Sus scrofa: one gene and its partners. The protein of the gene in region 3 interacts with the protein of the main gene of each other region in a pairwise test. Links are inferred from orthologs where the notes say so. Each region holds a gene or a part of one and is shown on either strand. Other genes may lie near its edges.

Region 1 (3,627 bases), on a different chromosome or scaffold from region 3:
GCCATGACGGGAACTCCCAAGGCTTTTTTAAAAAAGGATGTTCTAAAAGAACAAAGGGAAGAGCACATGGATACTTTTGTCCAAAAACTGTTTTTTGTCTTTTTAGGGCCATACCTATAGCATACGGCAGTTCCCAGGCTAGGGGTCAAATTGGAGCTTTAGCTGCTGGAGTACACAACAGCAATGCCAGATCTGAGCTTTGTCTGCTACCTACACCACAGCCCATGTCAACGCCAGATCCTTAACCCACTGAGCAAGGCCAGGGATTGAACCCACATCCTCATGAATGCTAGTCAGATTCATTTCTGCTGAGCTATGATGGAAACTCCTAAAAACAGTTCCTTGTAGTATCCACCTATTTAAAGATGGATTTTGAAAAATAGTTCCTTTCTTAATGCTCAGTGGAATGTAGCTCTTTTTTTTTTTTTTTTTTTGGTCCTTTTTTTTGGCAGGGGCCGCACCCACGGCATATGGAAGTTCCCAGGCTAGGGGTCAAATCAGAGCCGCAGCTGCTGGCCTATACCACAGCTCACGGCAATGCCAGATCCTTAACCCACTAAGCAAGGCTAGAGTTTGAACCTGTGTCCTCATGGATGCTAGTCAGATTTGTTTCCACTGAGCCACAACGGGAACTCTGAATATAGCTCTTTAGAGCAGCCAATATGTCTTTGACTGCTTCAGTCCTTTGTGAGAGAATGTCTTTCCTTGGTGTTTTTTAAGCTGGACATTCATTCATCCAACAAAAATTTATTGAGTGTCTGCCACTGGCCAGGCACTTTTCCAGTCATTGGGGACACAACTGTGAACAAAGCTGACAAATACTTGTTTTTGTGAGACTTACTTTTTGGTAGGGGGCAGGCATATGATACACAAATAAGCAGAGATATGTAGCATGTCAGTCGGGGGTGAGAGAAATAAAGCAGAAGATGGAGGCTGACAATGAGTCAAGAGGGGGAGGTTGTAATTTTGAGTAGAATGTCAGTGAAGACCTTGCTTGGAAGCTGACATTTGAGTAAAGATCTGAAGGAGTGAGCAGACTTTCCCCTAGTCAGAATGAGGTATTTCTTCTGTGAGTTCTCATGGTGTCTGAAATTGTCATGTGTGGTCACTCATCTGTCTCCTTGCTCAGCAGGGAGCTGCTCGTGGGCAGGAAGCAGTTGTGCTGTCTCATTTTGAGTCTGCTATCGATTATTTATCTACATGTTCTCTCCTAAACTACCTGGAAGCTTCTCAAAGGTGCAGTTTTTATCTGATGTGTATCTTTCAGCAGCTAGCTGAATGCCGTGTGTCCCTCAAAACTGAGTGAGGAAATTAATAGAACACTCATTCCCACAGCCAAGAAGGCTATGGTGAAGAGCAACTGCAGAAACAGCATCAGGTAGCAGACAATTCTCTTAATTGAGTTGTATGACTCTTAAAGCAATTCTCCAATTTATTTGGTAATACATTTCTGCACACTAGTTCTACTAAAAACTTGTTTTCCTGCGTTCGTTTTCTCTAAGTTGTCCCAAGTGATACGACCCTGGCCTCCTGTACTGTTTTTAGCCCATTAAAAAGTTATATCTATAAATATGACTGACTCCTGAATTTTCCTGTTGGGAGACACCCCTCAGATTTATTTTCTAGAGTTTCATCAGACTGAACCTATACTTTTCTATGGCAAATATGCCTTTTTCATTTTGAGTATCCTTCAGGCACTAGGCTAATTTAAAACCATGGTCAGCAGCCTTTTATGCATATAAGTAATTTCAATTGTTTCCCACATGAAAAAATATTAAAATTTTTGTATTTGTATAGAATGTGGGGTTTTACCTCTTTAGTTGTTTGAGCTAAAAGAACTTTGAAAGGTTTGTGAGAGGAAAGAGGGGAAAAGATCAGTCGTACCCTTGCAGGCATGTAAATAGAATAGCCCCCCTCTGCTTTCTTGTTCTCTTATCTACCCCACAGTCCCTGTCATCCATGGCAGCTACTGTTTTTGTAGCCCGGGGGAGTGGCTGTTCTGGAAGTCCCTCCCACCCCTTCCCACACCCTCCTCCTCCCTCCCGAGGTATCCCCCAGTATCCAGGAGGGCATCTTCCTGGCTCCTTGATAAGTCCCTGAGCACTCTGTTCCCTCCATTCCCTGTGCCACTGTCCTCTCTTCCCTGGCACACCCTGGGGCCCGCGCAGCAGGAGCCCAGCTGGGGGAGGTTGCTCGGTTTGCAGCAGGAGAAACTGTGTTCCCCTTCATCTCAGGTAAACCTACACTCAGAAGGAGCCTCTATGAAGGGTGGGTTGGGAGTTCCCGCTGTGGCACAGAGGGATCAGAGGCATCTCTGCAGCACTGGGATGGATCCCTGGTTGGCACAGAGAGGTAAGGATCTGGTCTCACTGCAGCCGTGGAATGGTGGCTTATATCTGATTCCTGGCCCCAGAACTTCCATATGCCTTGGGGTGGTCAAGAAAGAAAAGAGAAAGAGGAGTTCCCGTCGTGGCACAGTGGTTAACAAATCCAACTAGGAACCATGAGGTTTCGGGTTCGATCCCTGGCCTTGCTCAGTGGGTTAAGGATCTGGCATTGCCGTGAGCTGTGGTGTAGGTTGCAGAAGCAGCTCGGATCCCGCGTTGCTGTGGCTCTGGCGTAGGCCAGCGGCTACAGCTCCGATTCGATGCCTATCCTGGGAACCTCCATATGCCACAGGAGCAGCCCTAGAAAAGGCAAAATGACCAAAAAAAAAAAAAAAAAAAAAAAAAGAGAAAGAAAGAAAAAGATTTAGTTTTATACTTTCACAGTGTATGGGTTAGTACATGATCTGGGAATCTAACCATCCTTTATAAAATAAATGAAATAGCATTTATTTTTGGGCAACTTGGTATCTCTCATTCTGAATAAAATGTCATTAAGAGAAAATGTATCTAGCTACAAGTAGCTTATAATCCATTATGTACAGAGTCCACATGTAACATATAACCTGATTAAGGGGACTTTTAAAATTTAAAACAGCCTTGGGGGAGTTCCTGTTGTGGCTCAGTGGGTAACGAACCCAACTAGTATCCAGGAGGATGTGGGTTCCATCCTTGGCCTTGCTCATTGGGTTAAAGATCTGATGTTGCCTTGAGCCATGGTATAGGCTGCAGATAAAGCTCAGATCCTTCATTGCTGTCACTGTGGCATAGGCCAGCAGCTACAGCTCTGATTTGACCCCTTGCCTGGGAACTTTCATATGCTGCAGGTGCAGCCCTAAAAAAAAATAAAAATAAAAAAGCAGCATTGGGAATCAGTGTCAGCTTAATTTGGTTTTCAATTCCAGACATCATATAACATTTTTTTTCCTCCTACCAGGCTGATTTTAACACCGACGTTTCTGGGGTGAGTGAACAAAAACAGGATTTTGTGAACTTTTCTGATATTTACTACTCTAATGAAGAGTATTTCAGGAAACTAGAAGAGCTGAAGGCTGCCCACATGGAAACTATGGCCAAGTTAGAGAAAATGTACCAGAATAAACTAAATTTAAAGGAAGTTCAGCCAGTGGTCACCAGGGAAGAAGCTGCTAGTGTCTCTTCTAAGTAAGTTTGTACATAATGTTATTTGTGGAATGTAAAATAAAATGTGTACCTAAAAGTGCAGAACAAAATTATTTCAGAA
Region 2 (3,336 bases), on a different chromosome or scaffold from region 3:
GGGCTCCTTTGCTTGACTGGGTTCCCAGTCCCTAAACGCCTTCCCCTGCTCCCCTCCTCTGGGCGCAGGGGCCGCGCGGCCCCTCCTCGGATCGCGGACAGCGCTCCGTCTCCTGGACCCCCAGGGCTGTCTGCTGCAGGCCAGCCTTTGGGCTGAAGCAGGTGGTGGGAGGGAGTGCGGAGCTCGAGGCGGAAGAGGCCTTCCGTGTGCCGGGCGGGGGCGTGTGCCTAGTGTAGCTCGGACTTTGCTGGGAGAAAGGGAAGGTGCACAGGTTCGTAAGGCCTCCCTGGCCTTCTTTTTAAATTCCAACAAGATAGGCCTTTGGCTTTACAGCTCCCAAGCTTGGCGTGAGTCCTCGTGTCCCCCTTTCAAGGCCTCCACGAGGTCTCTTTGGGGTCCGCCACTTCCTCTGCCTGTCTCCAGGTGGTGCAGGAGGTGTGGCCCCTCTCCTTCCCGTGGCTCCCTAGAGGCCCCGGTTCCCCTTCCCTGTAGCTTTAGCTGACCTCGTGGTGGTGGGTGTGGGGTCTGTGCGCGTGCTCAGGTAAGCTTGGGGGCTCCAGGTAAGCGGTCCCGTGTCCCCCCCCCCCCGGGAAGCCCGCCTCCTCGCCAGGCCCCCAGGAGTTGCCGAGCCCCCCCCATCCCGCTCGGTTTGGACACCCGCAAGGCCGGCATCGGTAAATGGCACCTTTTTCTCTTCCTCTGGTTGTTATTTGGGGGGGCGAGGGCTGGGGCGGGGCAGGGTATTGTGGTTGGTTGAGGACAGCCCCCTAGCCAGGGCCGGGGGTGGGCAACAGGGACTCTTCTGGCCTTCCCAACCGCCCCCCAAGAGATAGGCCAGGGAGGGGGCCTCTGCCCACAGCTCCCCTCTGCTCCTCCGCCTCCCGGGAGGCTCAGGCTGGGGCCGGCCTCCCAGGGCCCGTTGCGCTGGAGGTGTTGCGGGAGCAATGGGATGGGGCCGGGGCTGGGCGCAGGCCTTTCAGGTAAGGCAGGACATTTGCAGTAGCACCACACGTCTCCCACATCTCCCTCCACTGCCCCTCAGCCCCACCTGCTGTAGGGGCCCCTCCAGGCCCCCTGGGAGCCCCATAGCCCGCCTTTCTGCTCCCTTCCTCCATCTCCTAAAGATCTCCCTCCCCCTCTGGTTCATTTTCTGTTCTGATGTCTGTTCCCCCCACACTCACCCTCCCCGGAAAAAAAAAAAAAAACCCACAGAAAAAGGAAACCGTTGTGAACTGGGGTGCAGAGGGGCCCAGTTGGGCCTGCTCCCCCAGCATGATGTTTTAGGGTGCATGCCTGGGGTTGTGGGGGAGCCCTCCCCCGCAGCAGAGTCCAGCCTTAAGTTAACCTCTGGTTTCTTTGCAGCGACTTTGGCCACCTTGGCAGGGGGGGCTGCTCTGTCGAATGGGAGTGGGGACTTGGGACGGCCTGGGAGCCGGGGGGCGGGGGGGGGGGGGCGTGGTCTGCCCCCCAGTGGCGACTGGGGGTGATGAGCAGCTGCCGATGGAGCAGTCCCCTCCTTGTTTGGGAAGGGATGGGTCTGGCTGGCAGTTGCCTGGCTGTCTGGTGGGTGTGGGGGTGTGTGTGTGGTGTGTGTGCACGTGTGCGAGTGTGTTGATGGGGACCCGGGGGGCGGGGATGCCGCAGGGCTGGGCCTCAGCCTGACTAGAGGACCCTCTGGGGACTCCTCCCCTCCCCCTCCCCGCGTCTGTTGCAGCCGCTTACAAGCACGCAGACGGCAAGAAGATTGACGGCAGGAGAGTCCTCGTGGACGTGGAGAGGGGCCGAACTGTGAAGGGCTGGCGGCCCCGGCGGCTAGGTGAGCACGTCCTGCTGAGGCTGGGCTTGGGGTCCTGCCCTTGGGGGCTCCTTTCTTAGCTCTTTTCTGCACCTCCTGCCGCGCTCTGTCCTCTCTTTCTCTCCTGGCTGCGCCCATCCTTTCTTCCTCGCGCCGGCTCGTCCTTTGTTCTCAGCGTCATTCTTCTGGTCTGTCTGCTTGTTCTGGGTTACCCAGTAGGAGCAGGAGGACTGACCTAGAGAAAGAAGCCAGTTAGGATCGAATTCTGGCTTTCGAGCTTCGTGGCTGGTGGATTTCCACTCTTCATCCCTCCTTTTCCCTCGTCCTGGAAAGTGGGGCTAACCTCAGGTCCCTGAGCTCAACCGTCAGATACCCAGCTGGGCACGTGGCATTTGTTGGGTCTTGGAGTCACTCTCATCTGTTTATGCTTTCCTCCTCTCTGTTGTTCGATCATTCATTCACTGGTTTAGCAAACGCCTCTTTGGTCACCAGCTGTGTACCAGGCTCCTAGTCAAGAGCAGGACATACACAGATGGCGTCTCTGTCCTCAAAGCCTTCTCCGTCCAGTTCCCTCACTGTCTGTCTCTAATTATCGGTCACCGTCTCAGTCAAGATCAATTGGATAACACGTATGAGAAATTTGTGCTTCCTTGGGCGTTCTCTTGTGGCACAATGGGTTAAGGCTCTGGTGGTGTCACTGCTGTGCCACAGGTTCAGTCCCTGGCTCTGGAACTTGCATGTGCCATAGTCACGTCCTCCCCCAAAAAAGACATTTGTGCTTCCTAAGGTATAAAGGGGCTTTGTTGATAGAGAATCTTAGTGTCTTTTGGAGCCTAGAGGCATGTGATGCCTGTGACCGTCCTCTGACGGCCTCGTGGCCAGACCTTAACTGTCAGGAACCACCTGTGGCAGCTTGCTTCCACGCTGTTCACTCTTTCTGTAAACCAGACTCTTTGGTACCTACACTGGTCCAGTGTGCTGTTTCAAACTCCCTGCTTCGGAGTTCCTGTTGTGGCTGGGCACTAACGAACACCACTGGTATCCATGAGGACACAGGTTGGATCCCTGGCCTCACTCAGTGGGTTGGGGATCCAGCATTTCTGTAAGCTGTGGTGTAGGTCACAGACACAGCTCTGATCTGGCGTTGCTGTGGCTGTGGTGGAGGCCGGCAGCTGCAGCTCTATTACAACCCCTGGCCTGGGAACTTCATATGCTGCAGGTTTGGCCCCAAAAAACAAACAAACAAAAAAAACAACCAAAAAAACAAGTGCCTGCTTTGCACCCAGCCCTGGGTGAGTCTGTGTTTCCAGGTGGGTGAATCAAAATGGCTCAACATTGGGCTGAGGTCCTGCCATCCAGACATGGCTGTTGAGGACGAGCTCCTGTGAGCGGGAGAAGCTGTTGTCAGAGAAAACCATCTTCCTGGGTGGACGTCCCAGGAGGGTCCCTTATGGTCCGTCCTTTGTCCTCCCAGGCCACTGTTCTCGCTTTCGACCTGTGTGCTGAGTAGACCGCACTCTCCTCTGCCGAGTCTCTGAGCC
Region 3 (3,627 bases):
GTACTTTGCAATATTTTTTTTTTGGATATGTGGTCTGTTCTATCAATCTATTTTTCTACTCTTTTGCCAATACTGTACTGTCTTGACCACTGTAGCTTTATGGTAAATCTTGAAGTTAGGTGACATTATTCATCCAACTTTCTTCTTCTCTTCAGTATTATATTGGCTATTCTGAGTCTTTGAATCTTCCTATAAACTTTAGAATCAGTTTGTTAATATCTGTAAAATAACTTGCTGATATTTTGATTGGGATTGTATTGAATCCATAAATAATATGGGAAGAACTGAATCTTGATAGCATTAAGTCTTCCTTTCCATAAACATGGAATATCTCTTCATTTACTTTGTGATTCTTTGATTTCATTTATCAGAGTTTTATGGTTTTTCTCATATAGATCTTGTAAGTATTTTGTTAGATTTAAATATGAGAATTCCTGGGTCCCACATCAGGTTTTGAGTTTAGATCTCCTGGGGTGGAGCACAGGAATCTACATTTTTTTTTTTTTTTTGGCCCCAGTGTACAGTGGCTTAATGAAGGATCACAGCTCCCAGGCCAGAGATCAAACCTGGGCCTCAGTGGTGAAATCATCAAGTCCTAACCACTAGACCATCAAGGAGCTCCCATATTTTATTAGATTTATTCTTAAGTATTTAATTTATTTATTTATTTATTTATTTATTTTTTTGGTCTTTTTAGGGCCACACCCACAGCATATAGAGGTTCCCAGGCTAGGGGTCCAATTGGAACCGTAGCCCCTGGCCTACACCACAGCAGTGCCAGGTCCAAGCTATGTCTGTGACCTACACCACAGCTCATGGCAATGCCAGATCCTTAACCCACTGAGCAAGCCAGGGATTGAACCCGCAACCTCATGGTTCCTAGTTGGATTCATTTCTGCTGTGCCACGATGGGAACTCCACAGTATTTAATTTCTTTAGGTGTTAATGTAAGTAGCAGTGCGTTTTTAATTTAAATTCCACATGTTCATTGTTGGTATATATATATGGGAAAGTGATTGACTTTTATGTATTTGACTTGCATCCTAAAATCTTGCTACAATTGCTTATTAATTCCAGGATTTTTTTTTTTTTAGTGGATTCTTTTCAGATTTTCTGCATAGGTGATCATGTTATCTTTGAACAAAGACGGTTTTGTGTCTTCTTTCATTATATATATATACCTTTTATTTCCTTTTCTTGCCTTATTACATTAACAGGGATATCCATTGTGATCTTGAAAAGGAGTGGTGTGAAGGCACATCCTTGCCTTGCATCTGATCTTAATGGGAAAGTGTTGAGTTTACCGCCATTAAATGTAATGTTAGCTGTATGGTTTCTGTAGATAGTCTTTATCAACTGAGAAAGTTTCTCTCTATTCCTGTTTTTTATCATGAAAATTTTTCTATTATGAATGAGTTATATATTTTTAATGAGTTAATACTTTATGTTTTTATAAAAGTAAAACTCATGTTTACATCATTTTAGTCTTCCTTACTCATAGATTATACATCTTGTCACTTTTTACCAATTGTTAATCTGTGTGTTTCTAGGCTCAGCTTGCCAATCGGAAACAAAAATTAGAGTCTGTAGAGTTGTCTAGCCAGTCGGAAATCCAGCACCTGAGCAGTAAGCTGGAGCGGGCCAACGACACTATCTGTGCCAATGAGTTGGAAATAGAGCGCCTCACCATGAGGGTCAATGACTTGGTTGGAACCAATATGACTATTATGCAAGAGCAGCGGCAAAAAGAAGAAAAATTGAGGGAATCTGACAAACTGCTAGAGGTATGTTTTTAAATTGTGGTATACTATAACTGAGGAAATGTGTGTTTCAGTGTTTTAAGAGAAACTAATTAACCTAGGACTAGGTTCCAAAATCTGTGGTTTCTTCCCTGCTCTAACCAATGAATCAGATACTGATATTAATAACAGGATCGAAATAACAAGCCTTATTAATATTAAGCCTTATTAATTCACAGTCTGACCCACTGGCTTCCTCTTCCTGTGGTACAGAAAAATTGTAATAACATCTGACTTTTTTTCCGAGTATTTTTTGTAGGTTCTACAAGAAGAAAAGAGAGAATTGAAGGCTGCTCTTCAGACTCAAGAAAATTTTATCCGTGAAGCAAGAATACAAAAGGAGAAGCTCCAAGCAAAATTAAAGGCAGCTGACACTCAACACACATTAGAGACCATGAGGTACATTTACTCTTTTCTGGGCCTCACCCATGGCATGGCGGAAATTTGGGGGCCAGGAACTGAACCCATGCCACAGCAGTGACCACACCAGATTCTTAACCTGCTGAGCCACCAGGGAACTCTTATTTGATCTTAAATTATTAATCTTAGCCACAGAGTGATTTAGCATTAAGTGCCATTTTTAATATTGCCTTTTCATAATTTTGTATTTGATTCTATTATGGTTTTTGTTTTTAGTTTTAGTTTTGAGTTAAATTTTTATAGTATTGGAAAATATCGTGTGGTTAGTTTTTTTCTGCCTCCAGTTTGGGTCCCTAACCAAGGAATCTGACGTTTAGAAAGTTAGAAACCCCTGTGTCAACCTGTACCCTTGGTGAAAGTGAAAAGATATGAAAGGAATTGTAATCCATATCCCCTGGGAAGCATCCCTTCCTTGGTAGAATTAGTCTTGATTAGTAGCTGCTTATTTATCATCAGTATCATCAATAAGCCAGTTATGGAGTTCCCGTCGTGGCGCAGTGGTTAACGAATCCGACTAGGAACCATGAGGTTGCGGGTTCGGTCCCTGCCCTTGCTCAGTGGGTTAACGATCCGGCGTTGCCGTGAGCTGTGGTGTAGATTGCAGACGCGGCACGGATCCTGTGTTGCTGCGGCTCTGGCGTAGGCTGGTGGCTACAGCTCCGATTCGAACCCTAGCCTGGGAACTTCCATATGCCGTGGGAGCGGCCCAAGAAATAGCAAAAAAAGACAAAAAAAAAAAAAAAAAAAAAAAAAGCCAGTTATTAAGATAGCCCTTTAAAAAAACTTGTGAAACTAATTTTATTTCTATCTATGAATTGTTGCTATGAGATTTGTGTGGAAAGTAAAAGGAGAAGCTCTACTCCTTTTGCTTGAATCTGGTGCACATTCTGTTGTTACCAGAACTCTCCGTAACCTCAGTTTCTTTGACTGAAGGGGTCAAGGGTCAAAAAGATGGTTTTTGTCATTTTGTCTTTTTCTCTTGAAAAAACAGGCCAAATCCCAAGTGAGAAAGGAGTAAACTGTTGCTGACTTTTTCAAGAAAAATCTTCTCTGCCTCTTTACTCTCCCAGTGTTTATTATTATAAAGCAGGAAACAAACTGAAGAGTTCCCTTACCAAAACAGTTGGGAAATATGAACTGGCTCAATGTTGTTTTTGTTTGTAAAGATACAAGGCCTTAACAGTCCTCCTGGGTCCTCCCATAGGTCACTGGAGGAGGCTCAGGAAGAAAGGGGGTATCCCTCTCAAGGGCAGGGGGACTTGGAGAAAGTGCTCTCCCGGCTGGATTTTACCCACACTAGTGAAGAACTTCTCCAAGCGGAGGTGACTCATCTGGAAGGCAGGTAGATAATTACATACAAATTCAAAAACATCCACATTGTTAAAAATGATTTTTGGCCATTACATTG

Evidence for each region. The genes of interacting proteins can lie anywhere in the genome.
Region 1: the proteins of CEP63 (region 3) and FAM161A interact in binary tests that used the Homo sapiens proteins (3 or more experiments, as listed by UniProt). The two-hybrid records come from large-scale screens. The link is inferred for Sus scrofa from reciprocal best matches to the Homo sapiens genes CEP63 and FAM161A.
Region 2: the proteins of CEP63 (region 3) and SNRNP70 interact in binary tests that used the Homo sapiens proteins (3 or more experiments, as listed by UniProt). The link is inferred for Sus scrofa from reciprocal best matches to the Homo sapiens genes CEP63 and SNRNP70.

The regions. Positions count from the first base shown.
Region 1 is NC_010445.4:79,959,099-79,962,725, forward strand, and holds part of FAM161A (protein FAM161A), read left to right. Parts: intron 1-1,270; exon of another isoform or gene 1,271-2,352; intron 2,353-3,321; coding exon 3,322-3,548; intron 3,549-3,627. UniProt on the Homo sapiens protein: Involved in ciliogenesis.
Region 2 is NC_010448.4:54,298,255-54,301,590, forward strand, and holds part of SNRNP70 (U1 small nuclear ribonucleoprotein 70 kDa), read left to right. Parts: intron 1-1,714; coding exon 1,715-1,820; intron 1,821-3,336. UniProt on the Homo sapiens protein: Component of the spliceosomal U1 snRNP, which is essential for recognition of the pre-mRNA 5' splice-site and the subsequent assembly of the spliceosome. SNRNP70 binds to the loop I region of U1-snRNA.
Region 3 is NC_010455.5:75,671,914-75,675,540, forward strand, and holds part of CEP63 (centrosomal protein of 63 kDa), read left to right. Parts: intron 1-1,550; coding exon 1,551-1,784; intron 1,785-2,058; coding exon 2,059-2,198; intron 2,199-3,423; coding exon 3,424-3,561; intron 3,562-3,627. UniProt on the Homo sapiens protein: Required for normal spindle assembly.